2 linked regions of the Callithrix jacchus genome follow. The protein of the gene in region 1 interacts with the protein of each later gene in a pairwise test. Links are inferred from orthologs where the notes say so. Each region holds a gene or a part of one and is shown on either strand. Other genes may lie near its edges. The genes, in order: USP47 and AP4M1.

The links.
Region 2: the proteins of USP47 (region 1) and AP4M1 interact in binary tests that used the Homo sapiens proteins (3 or more experiments, as listed by UniProt). The two-hybrid records come from large-scale screens. The link is inferred for Callithrix jacchus from reciprocal best matches to the Homo sapiens genes USP47 and AP4M1.

What each region holds. Positions count from the first base shown.
Region 1 is NC_133511.1:77,816,779-77,827,033, forward strand, and holds part of USP47 (ubiquitin carboxyl-terminal hydrolase 47), read left to right. Parts: intron 1-1,912; coding exon 1,913-2,028; intron 2,029-4,394; coding exon 4,395-4,514; intron 4,515-6,282; coding exon 6,283-7,060; intron 7,061-10,255. UniProt on the Homo sapiens protein: Ubiquitin-specific protease that specifically deubiquitinates monoubiquitinated DNA polymerase beta (POLB), stabilizing POLB thereby playing a role in base-excision repair (BER). Acts as a regulator of cell growth and genome integrity.
Region 2 is NC_133503.1:13,478,175-13,489,016, reverse strand, and holds AP4M1 (AP-4 complex subunit mu-1), read left to right. Parts: upstream 1-4,198; 5' UTR 4,199-4,377; intron 4,378-4,625; coding exon of another isoform or gene 4,626-4,656; exon of another isoform or gene 4,657-4,753; intron 4,754-5,010; exon of another isoform or gene 5,011-5,070; 5' UTR 5,071-5,077; coding exon 5,078-5,135; intron 5,136-5,242; coding exon 5,243-5,331; intron 5,332-5,350; exon of another isoform or gene 5,351-5,414; intron 5,415-6,032; coding exon 6,033-6,139; intron 6,140-6,222; coding exon 6,223-6,319; intron 6,320-6,919; coding exon 6,920-7,030; intron 7,031-7,122; coding exon 7,123-7,203; intron 7,204-7,585; coding exon 7,586-7,648; intron 7,649-8,348; coding exon 8,349-8,415; intron 8,416-8,519; coding exon 8,520-8,573; intron 8,574-8,710; coding exon 8,711-8,817; intron 8,818-8,918; coding exon 8,919-9,013; intron 9,014-9,418; coding exon 9,419-9,463; intron 9,464-9,701; coding exon 9,702-9,752; intron 9,753-9,868; coding exon 9,869-9,980; intron 9,981-10,124; coding exon 10,125-10,349; 3' UTR 10,350-10,637; and 1 more. Other genes in the region: DNA replication licensing factor MCM7, read right to left, coding at 1-130, 623-706, 939-1,070, 1,160-1,274, 1,465-1,614, 1,898-2,035, 2,331-2,511, 2,592-2,716 and 3 more; TAF6 (transcription initiation factor TFIID subunit 6), read right to left, coding at 10,692-10,842. UniProt on the Homo sapiens protein: Component of the adaptor protein complex 4 (AP-4). Adaptor protein complexes are vesicle coat components involved both in vesicle formation and cargo selection. They control the vesicular transport of proteins in different trafficking pathways.

The sequences.
Region 1 (10,255 bases):
CTCTTTCTTTCTCTTTATGGAGATCTTGGTCCAAAAAGTATATTTTCATAAAGTCTCAGAAGTAGAGGCTGTTTAGAATTTCTTTGGAAGGGTGGATTTATTATCCCATCACTGTCAGCATTTAAAGTTTTTCTTCATCCTCTCTACTTTTACAGGTCTCAGGGACTTCAGCTTTTCTTTCTTCATTAAATCTATCACATGCACTCAGGACGTTGAGTTGGTTTTTTTTTTTTTCCTTTGAGACTGCTTAGGAAAACCAAAATATCATGCCCCTAGTTTTTCCAGAGACAGTTTTGTAGGGGTTCAGTCAGGGTGGTGGGAAAAATTGTAAAATAGACACAAACCTTTTAGAAGGCGGGAAGGTTTCTTCAAAAGCCTTGGGAAGGAATGAGCTGAAGGCAGCAATTCTTACCCAGGGGCAGTTAGGCAGAAGTAGGTCCAAAGGAATGTGGGGGAATTTATCTAAAGAGCTTGTTTACTCATGTGATCCTAAGATCTACCATTCAACACCCTCAAGCACATGACTGCTCTCTATTCTGGGGGTCAGCAATGTTATTACCCACAAATGGTGTTTGCTTTAGGCCTTGGAACCTGGCCTTTAATCATTATCTGCAAGTGTGTTGACTCAAAGCCTTTGTCATTAAATCTGTACTGTATAAATGCCTGGAGTGCCAGCTGGTCCAGGGCTGCAGCTGCTGACTCTTTATAGCACCCTCCTCAACCTCTGAAAGCTGTCTGGACCCTCAACCCACTCTTTCACTAGATACCTGCATTTGTTCATCTGTCACTGGGTCAGGGTCTGCTGGTCAGACCCAGCACAGTTTCCTTAAAGACAGTTACATGGTCTGTTTTGTGTCCAGAGTTTTCTATAAATTGTAACAAATAGGAGAAAAGCAAAATGTTTAAATAATTTTACAAAATTTTTACTGTTGTGCTTGACCCTAACTCCTTTGCATCACTGTTTAGTTAAAATTCAGACTTAAGTCCTCTGTGTTGTTTTCCTAAATGTTGAACTTAAAAAACCTTATTCTCCCCTTTTACAATGATATTCCTTTATGGATCCTGTATATCTCCTTTTTAAATGAAGGCATCTCTTTACAGAGTAGGTTATATGTAATACTCTTTCAAGGAGCCTACATCTCTTAAGTGGGAAAATTTCATTTCTGAAAACCTTATGATGCCTGCTTCAGTTAAGACTCTACCTTATCTATAAAAAGTCCCTTAAGGACATTTTCTTGCTTTTTTTTTTTTTGAGCTAGACAGGAAAAAGAATGATTAGGGTGTAACATGAGTCAGCAGTAATACCACTTATTTGAAAGAGAACTCTAAATGCGAGTGCAGATTGTAAGACTTATAAAGTAGTCTTTCATTAATAATCTGGATCTTAGCAGAAGATTTTGTTAGATTTAGATAACAACATAGGGAAAAAAATAAGGATTGACATAAAACATGAGGTTAAAACAGATACATAGTAACTACATATTAAATACAGTGTTTGAAGATTAACGATGTAGTTACATAAACATAACCTGAAAACAGAAGAGAAGAAAATGGGATTTAATTTTAATAAAAGGATTCAAGTGAGAAAACAGATACATAATCACAGCAGTTTTTGTGTGGAATTTTCTTTGTGATATAGAAAATACTATTTTGAGAATAGGAAGTTTTTGATGATGAACAAGGTTTTGAGTGGCTTAATGAGGCATTTACTCAAAAGCAAGCGGGAGAGCTGTGTGGCCTTTAATATTTGTTTTGCAGTATATGGTGATTTATATTTATTCAATGTTGTTTTGGTCTGTACTTGGAAGTTTGGATTTGTCATCTATTAGAAACACATTAATAATGCATCACTCATGTGAAAGACATTAAAAAATAACCTCCAATTATGTGTTTATATCTTCAAATGTGACAGAAGTGATGGTGAAAGTTCACGTTGTTGATTTAAAAGCAGAATCTGTAGCTGCTCCAATAACTGTTCGTGCTTACTTAAATCAGACGGTTACAGAGTTCAAACAACTGATTTCAAAGGTAAGTTTTAAAAGGGGTTAGTAAATATATTTTTAAGTGCCTGTTACATACAAGACACTGTGTGATAGTTATGAATAAGATACAAGCTCTACCTCCAGGAGCTAATATTTGTAGTTAGGAGACAGCTGTGGTTTAAAAGAAACAGATTGAACAGGAAGTAAGAAAATGTGGGGCAAGTACATATAACAACTTGTATGTGTTGGCTGGATTATCGTAAAATACAGGATTGGAAATATTAGTGCAGTTTATTTCATAAAGAGCTTTAAACAGTAAACACAAAAGTTTGGGCTCCTTTTTGGTGTAGGCAATAAGAAGTCGATTTTTTTGCTGGTGGTGGTGTTAAGTGAGGCAATGCTGCACTTAGTGTCTGGTGACACTATACTAGTGTTCCACATGCCTTTACAGAGAGTCAGGAATGGAGAGGAGGAAGCTGTTGAAATAATTCAAGTGCAGGTGTATGACTGGAAATGAGAGAACACATAGATTCCAAGAGGGATAGAATCTGCAGGACTTGTAATTATTAAATGTAGGGATAAAGCTGATGCAACCGTGACCTAAGCCAGAGGTTTCAAACTTGGGTAACCAGAAAAGTAGGGATACATTAACAAAAATAGAAGAGGAAGGTGACCATGTAGACTTGACAGGGAGCATGATGAATTAAATACTGGCGCCATTATATGAGCTAATGATAAAGAACATAGGCTTATTCAGATTTCTTGAGCTGGAAAAATATGAGAATGAAAACATTCAAGTTTGGGGTGGGGGGCAAAAGGATTAGTCCATACCAGACAAACGATTATCATCCTTTCAAGGGTCCTGTACTCCTCAGAACCTTGAGCATACAAACAGGCAAAATTTTTCAGGGTTCTCAAACCGTAGGTTAAGATCCCCTCATGTAGTGGAAATTGTTCCATAATTACAAGTCGAGTTCAGGTTTCAGTCATTCATCTTATGGTAGTCTTGTCTTTCATCTCATTAGTTGGGGTTTTAAATACCTGTTTAACAGGGTTGTAGTGAGCATTAATGAAAAATAAATGCTCTGTGGAAAAAAATTGTAAGATGTTACGTAAGAGTTGGTTATTATTATGCTCTTAAAAATATATTTTGACTTATATTTATATGACTTCTAACAGTTTTGCTAAATTAATAACCAGGAAACAAATCATTTTTGTGAAATTATATTTTATGATTAAATTGCTTGTAAATGCATAGTATGTTGGTATGATATACTCTGTATTACATTTTTGAAATTTGAATGCCAAATGTAGAAGAATTCAGTTTAGTAAGCACTCAGGCATAATACAAAAGAAAGAGACACAATAGTTTCTTCCCAAGAAGTTAATAATGTTATTGAGAAAAATATGTCTAAGGCCAGGCATAGTGGCTCATGCCTGTAATCTCAGCACTTTGGAAGGCCGATGTGGATGGATCATTTGAGGTCAGGAGTTCAAGAGCAGCCTGGTCAACGGTGAAACCCCATCTCTAATAAACATACAAAAATTAGCCAGGCATGGTGGCTCATGCCTGTAGTCCCAGCTCCTTGGGGGCTGAAGCAGGGTAACTGCTTGAACACAGGAAACAGGTTACAGTGAGCTGAGGCTGTGCCACCAGTCCAGCCTGGGCAATAGAGCAAGACTGAATCTCAAAAAAAAAAGAAAGACAGCGGAGGTTGCAGTGAGCCAAGAAAAATATGTCTATAGAGAATAAAGGCGGTCACAAAACATCATGTAAACAAAGACAGTGTTTTAAAGTATAATCAGACTGCTTAAGAATTAGGTTTTTATAACTAATAACCTAAGTCATATTGAAAATAAATTGTGTTCTTTAAAACGGAGGTAATTTTTACCTGCTTTCATGTGAAATTTATGAAATGACTCCAGAGTTTAAAGATGCAGACTTAGAGAATAACTTAAAATTTTAACTACTAATCTTCCCATTTCACACAAAGGAAAATTGCTTATTGCTTTAATAAAAGTATAACAACTATTCACAAGACTACAGAAGGGCCTGTCAAAAGCCAAGAAGTTCAACATTTTAATATCACTCAAAATGTCAAGTTATTCAGTTTCTTTGGAATCGGATCACTCATTTACTTGGCAAATTTGAGAAGAATAGCATTTCTAGGACAAAATCCTTACCTTTAAAATAGTTTCAGAGCATACATTTATAAGTGGTATTTTGTTCTCCTGATTTGCAGCATAATTTATGGCTATAACTAATTTTTTTCTTTAATTCAAAATTTTTAAAACCTAGTAAATTATTTTTCTCTCTGTTGCTTTTAAGAAGAATTCAGCAGTGTCTTGCTTTCTAAGTAAAGCAGAATTATTTTTGAAAGAGTATTTTTTATTAAATTGCTTTTATTATAGGCCATCCATTTACCTGCTGAAACAATGAGAATTGTGCTGGAACGCTGCTATAATGATTTGCGTCTTCTCAGTGTCCCCAGTAAAACCCTGAAAGCCGAAGGATTTTTTAGAAGTAACAAGGTATGTCACTTATTTTTTTATTACTATTTTCTATGCTGATAATAGTAAATAAAATTAGTTCAGTATTATAAGCCTGGCCTCCACAGCTGTTCAACATCTGTCTGAAACTTAACTTAAAATTCTCAGGTTTTCCTAATAATTAGCTTCCTTTGTAGTCATGTCAGATCAGGCTCCTTTGTGTCCTGTCAATCAGTCTTAACAGTTCTCCTCTTCTTTGCCTTTGCTCATGTACACTCCCACCTAAAGTGTTCTTCCTCCTCTCCCTGCATTTTTTTTTTTCGATCTCTAGATTAGTCCTATCTCTTTGGTGAAACCCTCATAAACATTTCTACCCACAGTGATTATGTCCCCTGAATTTTGTTCACTTCATGGTGAAGGTCAGAGGCATACCTGGTATAGAAAAAATTATCATCTTGAGTTTACCCACCAATATTCCCTTTGCCTACTCATTTTTCTCTATTGGAAAGGAGAAAGTTCATGTTAATCCTCTTCTTTTGTCTTGATATTATTATGTGTTTCATCATTTATCATTTTTCATATGTGTCTATCACTTTTTCTAGTCTCATTTATCTTAGTACAGTCTAGTCTTTTATCTCATTTAACTTTTTTAGTATTATTTTATTAATCCCCATATGTAATTTTTATTCACCTATGCTTCTAAAACTTTTGTGTTGTGGGAGAGGGGGTGTATGTGTATCTGTAAAACATTAAAATCTCTAATCCCCTCCAATACTACTTTAGGGTAAGTAGTACAGGAAGGATCTAACTTTTTTTTGCCTTAAGTGGTTAGCCTACTAGTTTCAGTTTGTAACATTTACTGAATAGAATAATGATAGTGTTATCCTTTTATGCAAAAGCCAACATGCTATTTATTATCCCCAAATTTATGCCAAAAATGAATTTCATATTTTAAAAAAGATGTATTATGGAAAATTTCAAACATAAACAAAAGTAGAGAGAATAGGGAAAATAGAGTGACCCCCCCCCACCACATCCCCATCACTCAGCTTCTATAGTTATCGTCTGTTGTTTTATCTATATTTTAACTACCTGCTTCCCCCAGATTATTTGATAAACTTCCTCAGGATTATATCATTTCATCTATAGATAATATGAATGTATATCTCTAAATGAATAGAACTCTTAAAAAAAATGAAATTTACATTATGTACCTAAAAAATACCTTAATAGCAGCCTGTATCTTAGTCAGTATTCAAATTTCTCTGATTATCTTAGAAAAGTTTTTTCTGTAAATTTTCCTGTGTCTTTTTCATTTGCTTTCTTGCAGTTTATTTGTTACAAAACCAGGTTATTTGCCCATTAAATTTTTCGATGATCTGGATTTTGGTGTTATATTCACAAGGTGTCTTTACACATGTTTCCTATGTTTGTAATTCAGGCTAAACTTGGTTTTCCTAAAGGTGAAGGATTTATACAATCTAAAGAAAAACCAGATTATTAATTTCCTAAAGAGAAGTATGTATAATACAACTTTCTGAAATTGGACATCCCAGTAAACAAGGTGTTTGTGGATATGTGTATGTCCATGTCCTCTATCTTTGTGTAGTTTTATGGCTAGTTACAAAGACATTTGAGCCTAATATTTATTTTATTCAGTCTCCAAAACAATGCAGTGTCCTTCAGAAACTTTATCATCGCATTTTATAACATAACCGTGTATTGTCTTGTACTGATGCAATATTATGATTATGATGAATGAGAATGTCACTGAAATTAACATATAATAAAACTCTGATTTACTATGTAGGTGTTTGTTGAAAGTTCCGAGACTTTGGATTACCAGATGGCCTTTGCAGACTCTCACTTATGGAAACTCTTGGATCGGCATGCAAATACAATCAGATTATTTGTTTTGCTACCTGAACAATCCCCAGGATCTTATTCCAAAAGGACAGCATACCAGAAAGCTGGAGGCGATTCTGGTAATGTGGATGATGATTGTGAAAGAGTCAAAGGACCTGTAGGAAGCCTAAAGTCTGTGGAAGCTATTCTAGAAGAAAGCACTGAAAAACTCAAAAGCTTATCACTGCAGCAACAGCAGGATGGAGATAATGGGGACAGCAGTAAAAGTACTGAGACAAGTGACTTTGAAAACATCGAATCACCTCTCAATGAGAGGGACTCTTCAGCATCAGTGGATAACAGAGAACTTGAACAGCATATTCAGACTTCTGATCCAGAAAATTTTCAGTCTGAGGAACGATCAGACTCAGATGTGAATAATGACAGGAGTACAAGTTCAGTGGACAGTGATATTCTTAGCTCCAGTCATAGCAGTGACACTTTGTGCAATGCAGACAATGCTCAAATCCCTTTGGCTAATGGACTTGACTCTCACAGTATTACAAGTAGTAGAAGAACTAAAGCAAATGAAGGGAAAAAAGAGACATGGGATACGGCAGAAGAAGACTCTGGAACTGATAGTGAATATGATGAGAGTGGCAAGAGTAGGGGAGAAATGCAGTACATGTATTTCAAAGCAGAACCCTATGCTGCAGATGAAGGTTCTGGGGAAGGACATAAATGTATGTACTTCAAAAGAAAAAAGGTCCCTGAAACAGCGTCATTTTTTCTGTCAGTTTATTTAAATTTTCAGTTAAGTGTTAGGTACTTATTTCTAAGATCATTTGTAACTTTCTGGATTATAAGATTATTCTCTATTGACTTTGGTTTTTGATGCAGTTGTAATGAACACTGTTCTTAGACCTGTGCAATAAATTAGATGTTAATTATGTCAGAACTCTGACATAAGTAAAAAAATAATATTCAATATTAGGAAAGAATTATGAATACAGTTACTAAGTAAAAAATTCAGGAATATATTAAAAAGTAAGTAATATGTTTTTAAAAAGCTCGGACACTTTAGAAAATTTGGTATTCAATGCCCACAAACTGTTTTATTTCTACATGCTCTTGTCTCCATTTTCCAGTGCAAACGACAATTTCCTTGCTACACCCCCTTAAAAGTCCATAATTAACTGCGAAAGTCAGAGTAAGAAAAAGCGCTTTTAAAAATTTTTTTTGTTACTTTGAAGTAAATCCAAAGCAAGGAGTTACTAGAAATTCCAATGCATAATCTCAGAAAGATGGAAGAGATCTGAGAGTTTGGGCATTTAGCATAAGTGGTAACAACAAAAACATTCCAGCATTGTATGAGACTTAAAATAAAAGAACCTTTATAAAACCTTAGATGAGGGCCAGCCAAATAATTAGCGAGACAACCAGGATTAAGATACAAAATATTTCTTCCAAGTATAAAAGAGAAATAGCCGAAAAAGTAAATACTTTGCATTAGTTCTAAAAAAGCAAATATTAATACTATTTATATTTTTATATTTTAGCTTATTTGTTCTTACTTAAACCTTCTCCAAACTTAATAAAGCAAACATTAGTATCCTTATTTGACAGATAAGAAAACCAAAGCTCATAGAGGATGAATGACTTGCCCAAAAGTGCATGTGTAGCTAGTAAGTGGGGCCATTACTAGAACTGAAGGCATCTAATTGTTCCTTTTACCTTTGGAGAAGAGCCCCACTCTTTGTCCATCCATTCATCCATCCATCCAAGTAATATTTTCTAAATCCATGCTAGATGCCAGGCCCTGTGTAGCTGTTAGAAGTAGAGACGACTGAGATGCAGCCTTTTGTTTCATCTCAGGAGGAGGAGGTACAGAGTCACCCGCTCTAAAAGTTAAGTGCTATGATTCTTATATTCTCAAAATTCTATCTGCTAAAAGGAAGTAGTAGAAATTATGAAATACAAGTATTTAAATTTGTGTTTTTAACTAGTTGTGTTAAATAACACTGGAATCATATGACATTCATACATATATCTTGCAGAAACTCAAGTGTGAAAATGAGGATTGGCCGGACAAAATGGAGAAAGGGCAATCATATTATAATAATGCTTTAAATTTCTATGGAGCATTTACCTCATAAGACTCATTAGCTTACATGAGATCAGCATGCAAATACAATCTTAGTTCTCTTAACAGCTGTGTGAAACTGATATCATTAGGCCGTTTTCACTGATGAAGAAACTGGTCGAACAGATTAAGTAATTTGCCTGCGGTCACCCAGCTCACACTGCTAGGATGAGACTCAGATATTAGGAGCCACCACCCCATGGCTGCTGCCACTGTTTTTTCCTTACATATTAGTAAAGGAAAAATAGTGGTAACTAGTCTGCTTTTTTACCATACTCAACCCATCGAGGGCATTAGAAAAATTAAAAGTAGTTCCACTTTAGTAAAAGGTTGGAAATTTCTTTTAAGTGGTCTCTGTTTTAGGATGATGTGCTAAAAATTCGACTGGATAATAGTCTCAACCTTAGGAAGAATTCAGTGGGAATGCTTAGAATTATAGTTTGAAAAGTCTGAATTCCATCTTAGAACAGTTAATAAAATCTTTAAAAAGGAGATTGTTGGCCATTTTACTATATTTGAAAATTTGTACTAGGCTTATTTACTTCATTGAAAGAGTAAATGAAATACTATTTTCATTGAAATCGTAAACATGGTGAATAAGAAAACATTCACTCTAACTTATGTATTTGGGCCTTTAGAAGCCTCAGAAAAGAGCCTGTTTGAAAAGAAAATGTGACCCTGGAAAAATGCCTTCTCATGTGTAGAAAACTGGTTTGGGGATAGGGAAGTAGGGATAGCAGCCAGCAGCCAGGTTTTTCTTGAATCTGTACTAAGACTGATTGATTGCAGCTCCTCAGTCATCTGAAATTACATCCCTGGGAAAACGTGGATGATGAGTAATAATACACATTCTTCAGAGTGATAAAATGACTTGAAAGAAAGGACAGGTAGACAATGAATTTGATATTTGAAGAATGATGCACTATGCACAGTATAGGCACTCCACTCAGGCAATAATCAAACTGTCCTTAAAACAATGGTCCTTGAGATAGCAGTTATTATCCAAGAGTTGTTTCAGAGAATAATTACAGATCATTCTCTGAGAACACTGTCCTTTTAGGACCTAGTTATAGTTGTTGGCACTTGGGTATAAACAGGAAAGCCAAGGTTAAATAAAGATGGTAGCACATTTGCAGTGAAATTTCTCCATACAATTTTGGTTACCATTTCACTTAAGAAATATGTAAGGGCCAGTTACAGTGGCTCACACCTGTAATTCCTGCACTTTGGGAGGCCAAGGTGAGAGGACTGCTTGAGCCTAGGAGTTAGGGACCAGCCTGAGCAACATAGTAAGGCCCCATTTCTACAAAAAAAATTTTTTATTTAGCCAGCATGGTCACATGCCCGTAGTTCCAACTACTTAGGAGGCTGAGGTGGAAGGGTCACTTGAGCCCAGAGGGGAGAGGCTGCAGTGGGCTATGATCATACCCCTGCACTCCAGCCTGGCCACAAGTGAGACCCTGTCTCACACACACAACAAAAAAAAAAAGGGAAAAATAAGAAATAGAAAGGACAGAAAAAGGAAAATCATAAATATATTTTAAGGTTGCTCTGTGAAGACATGACTCTTTAGTCTGAAGAGATAGATAGGAAAAATGATATAATGGTAATCTCTACAACTACAAAGTAGTTATAGCCAATAAATTAACACTCTACCAAAGCTATCCTAAACATTTTACATGTATTGGCCTCAGAACACAACTTTGAGGTTTAAATACTATTATCTCCATTTTATAGCAAAGGTAATTAAAGTACAGAGAAGTTAAGAAGTCACAGTCACAAATCTGATATATGA
Region 2 (10,842 bases), on another chromosome or scaffold:
ATGCAGCACACGCCCTGGTCAGCCAGCACCAGGGCTCCACCCTCTAAAGTCAGTTCTCCACTCACGGAGTCTCTCAGCACAGCTGCTGTAAGTCCCACTCCTGAGGAGCCCCGGCCTGTTGTGTACTGGCCTGGAAGAGAAGAAATAAGGAGCCATGTTAGGAGATAGAAAGGAACGAGAGAGAGAGCAAGCAAAAGACAAGAAATGAGCCAGAGAGGGGGGGCTGCGCTGGGATTGTTCCACCTGCCCCAGGCCTTCCCCGGGATGCCCAAGGTTCTGTGGGGCGCTGAGGCAGGAGAATCACTTGAATTCAGCAGGTGGAGGTTGCAGTGAGCTGAGACCACGCCACTGTACTCCAGCCTGGGCGACAAAGTGAGACTGTCTCAAAACAAAAACAAACAAACAAAAATAATAATAATAAAAAAAAGCCCTTTTTAGTAGAGACGGGGTCTCACTATGGTGCCCAGGCTGGTCTCAAACTCTTGGCCCCAAATGATTCTCCTGTCTCAGCCTGAGAGCACTGAGATTACAGGTGTAAGCCACTATGCACCCCCACTTTTTGAATAAACCCTGTGGTCCTGTCTGTCACTATGTTCACCCCTCTCAAAGTCCAACTACTTACTGCGGGGGGCCAGGCGATCGATATATGACAGAAGCTGAGACTTGGCCACACCAGGATCCCCCATCAGACAGATGTTGATGTTGCCTAGAGGAAGACAGGCAGCCCAGGAATGACTCTTCTCCCAGTGCAAGTTGGCCAACAGCAGAGCAATTTTGAATTCTGCCTCCCCCAACACCTAGCATTACTTCTAAGCCCTCCCTGTGTCCATGAATCGAAGACGCCCACTCTTATACTGTGACCTATGGGGACACTTGTCATCCTTTTTTCCTCCCAAATGACTTCATCTACCCTGAGCCTTGCCCTTTTTTCTTCTTACCCCTGATTTTCATGCCTCGAGGAGACTGGTCCACACCCCCCACTAGCAGGAGCAGCAGTGCCTTCTTCACATCTTCATGCCCATATATCTCTGGGGCAATTGAAGCTGCCAGCTTTTCGTAAAAATCCTCCTCTGTGGAGAATTTTAAGGTTAAGGTATTTTGTGGGGGAAAATGGGGGGGTAGGATGTAAACGGAATTTCCTCTCTCTCCTGAGCATCACCTGCAATCTGCCTCAGCTCCTCCCTGCTGAGCTCTCCAGCCCCAGACTCATCATCCTCACTCTTGTTCATCTTCACAATCCGATGGGCTTCCAGGTAGGTTTCTGAGAGTAAACCCTTAGGCAGGAAAATGTCAGGATACAGATGCAATCCTTAGAACTTACCCATCACCAGATTCCCTAACAATTTCTTGATAAAGCACTGTGTTGTTTTGTTTGGTGCTTTGCTACTCACTTTTCTCTGTATGGGTACAGTGGGTGAGGGGAAATGGGATGATCTGTTCCTCATATCAAACTCCCTTCCTTACCTGTACCACCTGTCGGAACCCAGTGCGCAAGACTGGCAGGAAGATACCAGTGACACTGACATGGTCTCCAGGCTGGGCGATCCTTGTGTTCTCTCCTTCTACCAGCACTGTGATACTACGAGGGATATTTCCCACGGGTACTTGGTCACTCTAGGGGAGGGAAGAGCACATAAGGCTCAGGAGAAATAAACAAGGACCCAACCTTCCCTCCCTAGGCATCCCACGCCAAGACTCCCTGCCTGCCCAGCCACAGATAAGCCCACAGGACGGAAGCTGAGACTGCCTTTCTCCCCTTGCCAAGGCTCTCAAGAAACCCCAGTTCCACCTCACTCCTGCACTTCCCTCTTTTGTTCTTCTTGCCATTCCACCAGTGACTACAGGATTCAAGTGGACTCCTGATCCACCTGCCCAGGGCCACATACCCCAAACTCACATGTTCTTGCATCTTCATCTCCTGGAATTTGATGAATTTGGAGCCCCGTGTCTGCAGATACAGCCGCCCTCCTGAGCGGTTGGTTTGGCACTCCTGGCTTGGGCACATGATCAGAGGCATGAAAGTGGGAGACTGAATCTAGGATTGAGAACAGAAACACCAAAGGAAGTCAGAAGAAAAACAGCCCCATCTCGGTCTCTTGAATCATGTTTTCTCTTCATGGCAGACATCTTCTGAATCAAGAACTCTTTGAGCTTATTCTAGACAACAGAAGACACCCAGAAAATAGAAAGACCACTACATACCCAAGAATGAAAAGTGAACACATAGGTAGCTTTTACAACCAGAAAAAACGATAGGCATCATGGATCATATCAATTTCTATAAAATGACTAAGTGTGAAGTGCTTTCCTGCTCCTTCCTCCACACGTACCGGCTGGTAGGTCTCTGCCCCGCACTGGTCACAAGTGTAAGTGGCCACTACCATCTTGGGTTTGACTTCAGAGACACGGGTGACGATTCCACGCACAGTCACCAATTTCCCCACAGAGTCAGCTCGCACATCCCGGATCACACGAGGCTTGTTGCTGCTTGGGCCTTGAAAATACAGCTCACTAAGAGGAGAAAACAGTCACAAACAAGATCCTGGAGTCACAAACCAATCCCTACATCCTTCCCAACAGAGACCACTCACAATCTGCGCATGAGTTCAGCGGGATACTGGTTCTGGGGGCTTCGGGCCATCCCAGGGTCCCGAGTCCGCTGCTCCATCATAAGCCGATGTTCAATATAAACATCCAGGACATCTTTATTTACCACCTAAAGGAGAAGAGCAGAAAAAAATGAGTAACAGGATGGGGAAAGGAGAGCACAGACAATGCCAGGCAGAAGTGCCCCTGCTTTCTGCCTGGCTCCGAAAACATCAGTATCTGAGAAGCTTCTTAACAGAAGCTGAAACGCCTTGCCCTGCATTGTTCTCCAGTCACTCACCTCCCTCTCCTTGTACTGAGGCAGCAGCTCTTGTACCGCATCAGCAAACAGCTTTGCGTAGCGCCTGGCATTCTCACAAATTGAGTCCACCAACTCAGGGTCATCCTCAGCTACATCATCCAGGTCCACGTACAGAGCCACCTGTTCCCTATGAGCCAGCCGAACCTCAGGTGGGAAAGAGACAGCAACACCTCAGAGCCATGTTCACTTGTTCAGTGTTCACGTGTGAAGATGCATCACTGAGAGCTCAGCACGGGCTCTGGGCATCCACAGGGGAGAACATAGCACCTCAGAGAGCACACTCACTTCTCAGCCCCCAAACTCTCTAATTATTATGAAAATACTATAGCATCACATTCTCTTACCAGATATCAAATGCCCTGATAAACATGTCAGAAAAACATCCTTGATGAAACAAGCCGCTTCTTAGGACTTCTTAAAACCCGACTCCTCATTCTCTTTACCCAATCTTAGACTCACCAATTGGTTCCCATACTTGAACTGCTTCTTCCCAAGTTCATCATCCTGGTAGAACTCTTGTAAGAACTTCTTAACCTTTTCTGTAACGTAAAAGGTAAAATCATAAGACACAAACTTTATATTACTGCCCATCCCTCTGACAGAAATCTAAGACGCCTATTTTCACTTAAAACACGATTTATGAACTAGTTAACGATATGAGCATTTAAATAAACCTACCGAATTCTCCCCAAAATGGGTATAACTCTTTTTCACAAGTTTGTTTTTAATCAGCGAAGAATAAAGAGGTCGTGGCAGTTCACAGGATGATCCAACATCGTCTTCCCAGGGGAATTCCGGTCCCTACTTTAAAACCCTAGCGCCCTTCCTCATCGGCGCCCCACACTCCGATCTCAAGGTTCTCAGCCTTCCTTCCACCCCTATGATCCCCCACCTTCTTTGGGCCCCTGAGCCCCTGATCTCGCCAGGACCTCCGCCATCAGGCGGGTCGCGCACCCCACCCCCGCTCCCGCCAGCGCTTCCGCTCTTAGTAAACAAAGAAGCACATGGGACCGGATTCCAGCCGCCTCACAGCCCGGGATTCCTCCGCCCAGGGCGGGAGCCCATCCAGCCATTGGACAACACGCCTGGGGCCGCCGCGATCCCAGCCCACTACCGCCTTTCCGGGGCACGAGCGAAGCTCCCGGTTCCCAGGCACGCCCCCTCCCCTGGGCCACAGCTCTCTCCGAGGCCGCTGCGCGGAAGGACACTGTTTACACGACACTCCCTCCATCCGCGTCGCGCCACTTCCGCCCGGCTCCACTTCCGCTTGGAGGGCGGCCTCAAACGGCCAATCCTGGTGCGTAGCGGCCCGGCCTGCCCGCCCCCAGGGCCTCCGCGCGCCTCGGGAGGACGCGGGAACTGGGGAATGCCCAAAAGCGCGGAGGAAAGCAGGCCCGGAACCCCAGAGTCCTTAGGGTACTCCGAGGTCTTGGGCGCGATTCTCCCCTATGCAGCACCCCCCCAGCCAGGTTAGCGCCCCCAAGCCCCCAACTCCATGACCCTAACACCTTTACTACGTGGGATTACCAGCTTTTCTTCAACATGGATGCCACCTGCGCCTCGTGGGCCTCAGCCGGGCGGCCGCCCGACCCTGCCTCTAGCCTTGTGGTCCCCAGAACTTGCTGATCCCGGCTCCACAAGACCCCAGCTCACACCAATAGGTGTTCCCCGGGAGGCTCCCCGCGCAGGACGCCCTCCCAGGCTCGTAGAGCAGTACCTTTCTCGATCGCGTAGTCCTTCAGTGCCATCACTACCGAGGCCCGTACGGCAGCGCTTGGCGGACTCAGAGGTCTGGGTCCCGGGCAAGCGGAGAACGTCCGCGCGGTGGACTGTGGCTGACCAACCGAAATTGGCGCGAAACGTCGCCCCCACGTGACCGGCGCCACTGCCTGCCGGCCAATTGCAGAGGCCGGCCCTCTCCCCGCCTCCAGCTAGCCTCAAGCCAATCACCAGGAGGACCTGGAATGAGTGACGGGGAGGCGGTGTGGGCGTCGGGAGGGAATCGCCGAGCTAGGCTGGGCGGGCGTCTGGTTTCCCGCGGTCCGAGCTGGCTTAGGCGGAGCAGAATCGCTCTTAAAGGGCCAGCGCACGCGTGTTCCTTTGTTCCGGGGCCTCAGGGCGGGGCAGGCCCAACTTTCGCCGTCTTCTCGTTTACTCTCCAGAACGGCCATGATTTCCCAGTTCTTCATTCTGTCCTCCAAGGGGGACCCGCTCATCTACAAAGACTGTATCCTAGACCCGCGGGGCTGGGAAGGGGCGGAGGTGTCGGGCGGGAGGGGCGCCCGGGGCCAGCCCGTGTCGCAGGCTTCTTCACTGAGTTCTTCCACCCGCCAGTCCGTGGGGACAGTGGCGGCCGGGATGTGGCCGAGCTCTTCTACCGGAAGCTGACGGGACTGCCAGGAGACGAGTCCCCGGTTGTCATGGTAACCACTGGCGGGAGGCGGGTGGGGAGCAGGGAGCCGGCGCCCACCTGGCCCGCCGGCTCCCTCCCAGGGCTGATTCCTTGGTAGCTTCCACTTGGGATGGGGTGCATTCTTCCATATAAAACTAACAAGAGGCCCGGTGTCTCATGCCTGTAATCCCAGCACTTTGGGAGGCCGAGGGGGGCGGATCACCTGAGGTCAGGAGTTCGAAACCAGCCTGGCCAACCTGGTGAAACCCCCGCCTCTACTAAAAATACAAAAAAATTAGCCAGGCCTAGTGGTGAGCGCCTGTAATCCCAGCTACTAGGGAGGCTGAGCCAGGAGACTCGCTTGAACCCGTGAGGCAGAGGCTGCAGTGAGCCGAGATCGCCACACTGCACTCCAGCTTGGGTGACAGAGCAAGACTACATCGGGCAGGGGTCGGGGGGGGGGGGACGTTGGGACAAAAAAAACTTACATCAGGTGGCAGCAAAACACCAGGCCCAGCTCCCTTTATGACTCCATCCTCAGCAACTAGGTGTAGCTACTGTAATTAACCCCGTTTCCACATTGGGAAGCTGGGTTCAGGAACCTGTCATGTATCTCCCGAAGTCACTGCTACTGTGACTAGTAAGAGGCATCGGGATCCGAGCTCAGGTCTCCTGGGTTCTGATCACCCCAGCTCCTTTTTCCTAATGCTACTCTACCTGCCTGTGTCTCAGCATCACGAGGGCCGTCATTTCATTCACATCAGACACAGCGGCCTCTATTTGGTGGTCACAACTTCAGAAAACGTTTCTCCCTTCGGCCTCCTAGAACTGCTCTCCAGGTGAGGAGGGCTGGGCTGGACACCTGGTAGCTAGTGGGGGTCTAAGAGGAGGAGGAAATGCATACTCCCAAGTGTTTCTTCAGGTTGGCCACCCTTCTGGGCGATTACTGTGGCGCCCTGGGTGAGGGGACCATCTCCCGCAACGTGGCTGTGGTCTACGAGCTCCTGGATGAAGTGCTGGTGAGAATCAATGATCCCCTTCTGTGCCCGCCCCCCAATTCCCCTGGAGATACTTCTGCTCTTCTACTGCGGGATGCTGTGGTTGGGAGACCAAGTCTACTCCTTTTTTTTTTACCTTTTAGAGATAGGGTCTTTGCTCTGTCACCCAGGCTGGAGTGCAGTGGTGCAGTCATAGCTCACTGTAACCTGGAACTCCTGGGCTCAAGTAATCCTCCTGCCCCAGCCTCCCCTGTGCCCAACTAATTGTTTATTTTTTATGGAGACAGGAGTCTCTGGCGCCCAGGCTGGAGTGCAGTGGCTGGATCTCTGGTCACCGCAACCTCTGCCTCTTGAGTTCAAGTGATTCTTCTGCCTCAGCCTCCTGAGTAGCTGGGACTACAGGCACATGCCACCTGCCTGGCTAATTTTTTGTATTTTTAGTAGAAATGGGGTTTCACTATGTTGGTCAGGCTGGTCTGGAACTCCTGACCTCATGATCCACCTGCCTTGGCCTCACAAAGTGCTGGGATTACAGGGGTGAGCCACTGCACCCGGCCCCCACTTCACCTTTTTTACCCCTTCCCTCCACTGACTTCTCAGACTGTCCTTCTTTTACGCTAGGATTATGGCTACGTACAGACCACATCTATGGAGATGCTGAGGAATTTCATCCAGACGGAAGCTGTGGTCAGCAAGCCCTTCAGCCTCTTTGACCTCAGCAGTGTTGGCTTGGTCAGCAGAGAAAAAGAGGAGGGTGAGGAAGGAGAAGGGGTGTTGCCTGGGGTTGTCAGACCTGAGGATTGATTGCTTTGGATACTTTACAGTTTGGGGCTGAGACACAACAGAGCAAAGTGGCCCCCAGCAGTGCAGCCAGCCGCCCCATTCTGTCCAGTCGCTCTGACCAGGTGAGAGAGGGATCCATGGGGTCCAACCTTGTGGTTTTGCTCTGGGACCCCAGAGTCCAAGATTTTAGGTTGGGCACAGTGGTTCATGTCTGTAATCCCAGCATTTGGGGAGGCTGAGGTAGGCAGATCACCTGACATCAGGAGTTTGAGAGCAGCCTGGTCAACATGGTGAAACCCCATCTCTACTAAAAATGCAAAAATTAAAAAAAAAAAAGATCTTGGTACGTTTTCCACCTCTCCTAGATGTGGGTATCCCTTCTGGCACCTGTGTCCCTACCCTAGAGCTGTAGCTTTGACCATTCTTCTGTTCTTTCTTCTGTCTGTCCACTTCAGAACATAGACTGTTCTGCTTCCAACGACCCAAATCCTCTCTCTTTCTCAGAGCCAGAAGAATGAAGTTTTTTTGGATGTGGTTGAGAGATTATCTGTACTGATAGCATCTAATGTAAGTTTGAGCTCCCATCCCTTGAGCTGAGGACAAATGAGATTTGGGACACATGTTGGGGTGGCTAAGACTCCAGCAATGGCTGGGCACGGTGGCTCATGCTTATAATCCCAGTGCTTTGGGAGGCAGAGATGGGATAATTACTTGGGGCCAGGAATTTGAAACCAGCCTGGGCAACATAGCCAGATCCTGACTCTACAAAATACAAAAAAATTACCCAGGCATGGTAGTGTACACCTGCTGTCCCAGCTACTTGGGAGGCTGAGGCAGGATGATCGCTTGAGCCCAGGAGATTGAGGCCTCAGTGAGCCAGGATGGCACCAAAGCACTCTAGCCTGGGTGAGAGAGCAAGACGCTGTCTCTTTAAAGAAAGAAGTCAGCACGGTGGCTCATGCCTGTAATCCCAGCGGTTTGAGAGGCCGAGGCTGGTGGATCACTTGAGGTCAGGAGTTTGAGACCAGCTTGGCCAACATGATGAAACTCCATCTCTACTGAAAAGACAAATTTAGCCAAGCGTGCTTGCAGGCACCTGTAATCCCAGCTAGTTGGGAGGCTGTGAGGAGAACCGATTGAACCTGGTAGGCAGAGGTTGCAGTGAGCTGAGATTGCACCATTGCATTCCAGCCTGGGTGACAGACCAAGAGTCTGTCTCAAAAAAAAAAAAAAAAGAAAAATTCCAACCTTGACCTCTGCCTCTCAGGGCTCCCTACTGAAGGTGGATGTGCAGGGAGAGATTCGGCTCAAGAGCTTCCTTCCCAGTGGCTCTGGTGAGGCATCTGCAGGCAGGACCCAGGGTTGGGGTTGGGGCAGGTTCCTTGATGTTTTACACCGTGGAGTTTGCGAGCTCTCCTAATGTTCTTTCCTCTGCCAGAGATGCGCATTGGCTTGACGGAAGAGTTTTGTGTGGGGAAGTCAGAGCTGAGAGGTGAGGAGAAAGGGTCTGTCTCTCTCTGGGGTAGGTCTCTCATTGCCAGAGAGTTCATGGAGAGAAGTCAGAGACGGATCTTCCCCCTCCTTTCTCCCTCTCCCAAAAGGAGTCAGGAGAGAAGTCTCTCTTTCCAGGTTATGGGCCAGGAATCCGGGTCGATGAAGTCTCATTTCACAGCTCCGTTAATCTGGACGAGTTTGAGTCTCATCGAATCATCCGCTTGCAGCCACCTCAGGGCGAGGTCAGGATTGGGGTAGCCCTGTAAATTCTGTCCACCATGGGGAAGGGGGCAGTGTGGGGTTGAGGAGACCAAACTGACCCTGTTGCTCTCTGGTCTCTCAGCTGACTGTGATGCGGTACCAACTCTCCGATGACCTCCTCTCACCACTCCCCTTCCGGCTCTTCCCCTCTGTACAGTGGGACCGAGGCTCAGGCCGGTGAGACCATTTCCTGGGTTCCAGAAGTACCTTGGAGCCCAAGAGAGGATGTGTATGTTCCCAACACTCACTGCAGAGTGGGGGTGGTGGTAGAGGTGATGAAGTGCAGATTGGAAAAAGGCTTGGGCTGGGCATGGTGGCTCATGCCTGTAATCCCAGCACTTTGGGAGGCTGAGGTTGGAGGATCACTTGAGCCCAGGAGTTCCAGACCAGCCTGGGCAACATAGTGAGACCCAGTCTCTTCAAAAAAAAAAAAAAAGGAAAAAGCTTTGGCTAATGGAGTTGGGCTGGGCTTCAGCTCTTTGGGGTACAGCCCACACAGCCCTGCACAGAGCCCCCTGGTGGGGAATGGTGAGATGCCAGTAAGAGATGGCCCGAGTCATGGTGTTTTATTCTCTCGTCCAGGCTCCAGGTTTACCTGAAGTTACGATGTGACCTGCCCTTGAAGAGGTAAGAGTGGAGGCCAGTGAGGCCGAGTTCAGCTCTGTGGGATAAGAGACAGGGCCAGGACATCTGCTGCTACTCTCTTCAGATGCACCTGCCAGCCTCAGAATCCAGTTTAGGTAGAGGCTGTAGCATTTGGGAAGATGGGGGGCAACTGTGCTGAAATCCCATTGTGACATTGAAGGGGAACAGGACAAGGGACCATGCTTTCCTGGGGCTGACTTTGTTCCCGTCTCCTCTGTAGCCAAGCCCTCAATGTCAGGCTGCACCTCCCCCTGCCTCGAGGGGTGATCAGGTAAGTGCGTGTGCCCTGGGAGGTAGCAAGGCACAGGTAGGCGGGGAGTGAGGTCAGCACAATGGGCCTGCCCAGAGAAGGTGTCAAGCTCAGCATCTTTCCTCTCCAAACTCCAGCCTTTCTCAGGAGCTGAGCAGCCCAGAGCAGAAGGCCGAGCTGGCAGAGGGAGCCCTTCGCTGGGACCTGCCTCGGGTGCAAGGAGGCTCTCAACTCTCAGGCCTTTTCCAGGTATTTGCTGTTGACCCTCCAGCCCCTCTCCTCCCACCTTCACTTGCAGCCCCGACCCTGCCCTCCCGAAGCAGTTGCTGCCTGGTCCCCCCAGCTTGGTCAGCTTCCTGCGCTCCTTCCTCTCCCTGCCTCTGCCCCTCACAGATGGATGTCCCAAGGCCCCCAGGACCTCCCAGCCATGGGCTCTCCACCTCAGCCCCTCCTCTGGGGCTGGGGCCTGCCAGCCTCTCCTTCGAGCTTCCCCGGCACACGTGTTCCGGCCTCCAGGTCCGCTTCCTCAGGCTGGCCTTCAGGCCCTGCGGCAATGCCAACCCCCACAAGTGGGTGCGACACCTGAGCCACAGCGACGCCTATGTCATTCGGATCTGAGGATCCCCTAATGAGGATACAGTGGCCAAGGCAGCTGTTTGTCCCATGGGAGGAGGACAGTCTTTTCCAGCTTCCTGGCCTGCAGACTCTGGGCAGGAAGAGTCCTGAGTCCTGAGAGACCAGGAGGGCACAATGGGCGCAGCCTTTCCATGGTATATGATGCAGGAAGGACTGTGGTGCATCAGAACTTAGAAACCAAACTTTTATTCTGAGGAACTGGCTGTACAATATCTAAAAAGAAAGTGACATGAAGGAAGCAATCTACAACTTCCTTCTGCCTAGTGTGCATGCATGCGTGTACATGTCTGCATGTGTGGGAATCCGGGGCCAGCAGGTGAAACATCATGGTGCAGGCTGAGGGGAGCTGGAGCTGGGGGGCTGGGAGCCATTCGCTTTTGGAGTCCCTGGAGCTGGAGGGGGACTGTCCCCAGCTTCCTGCTTCCCCCCACAGAGGGCACTGCTGCTGAGCGGAGAAGGGGATGATGTTGGCGGA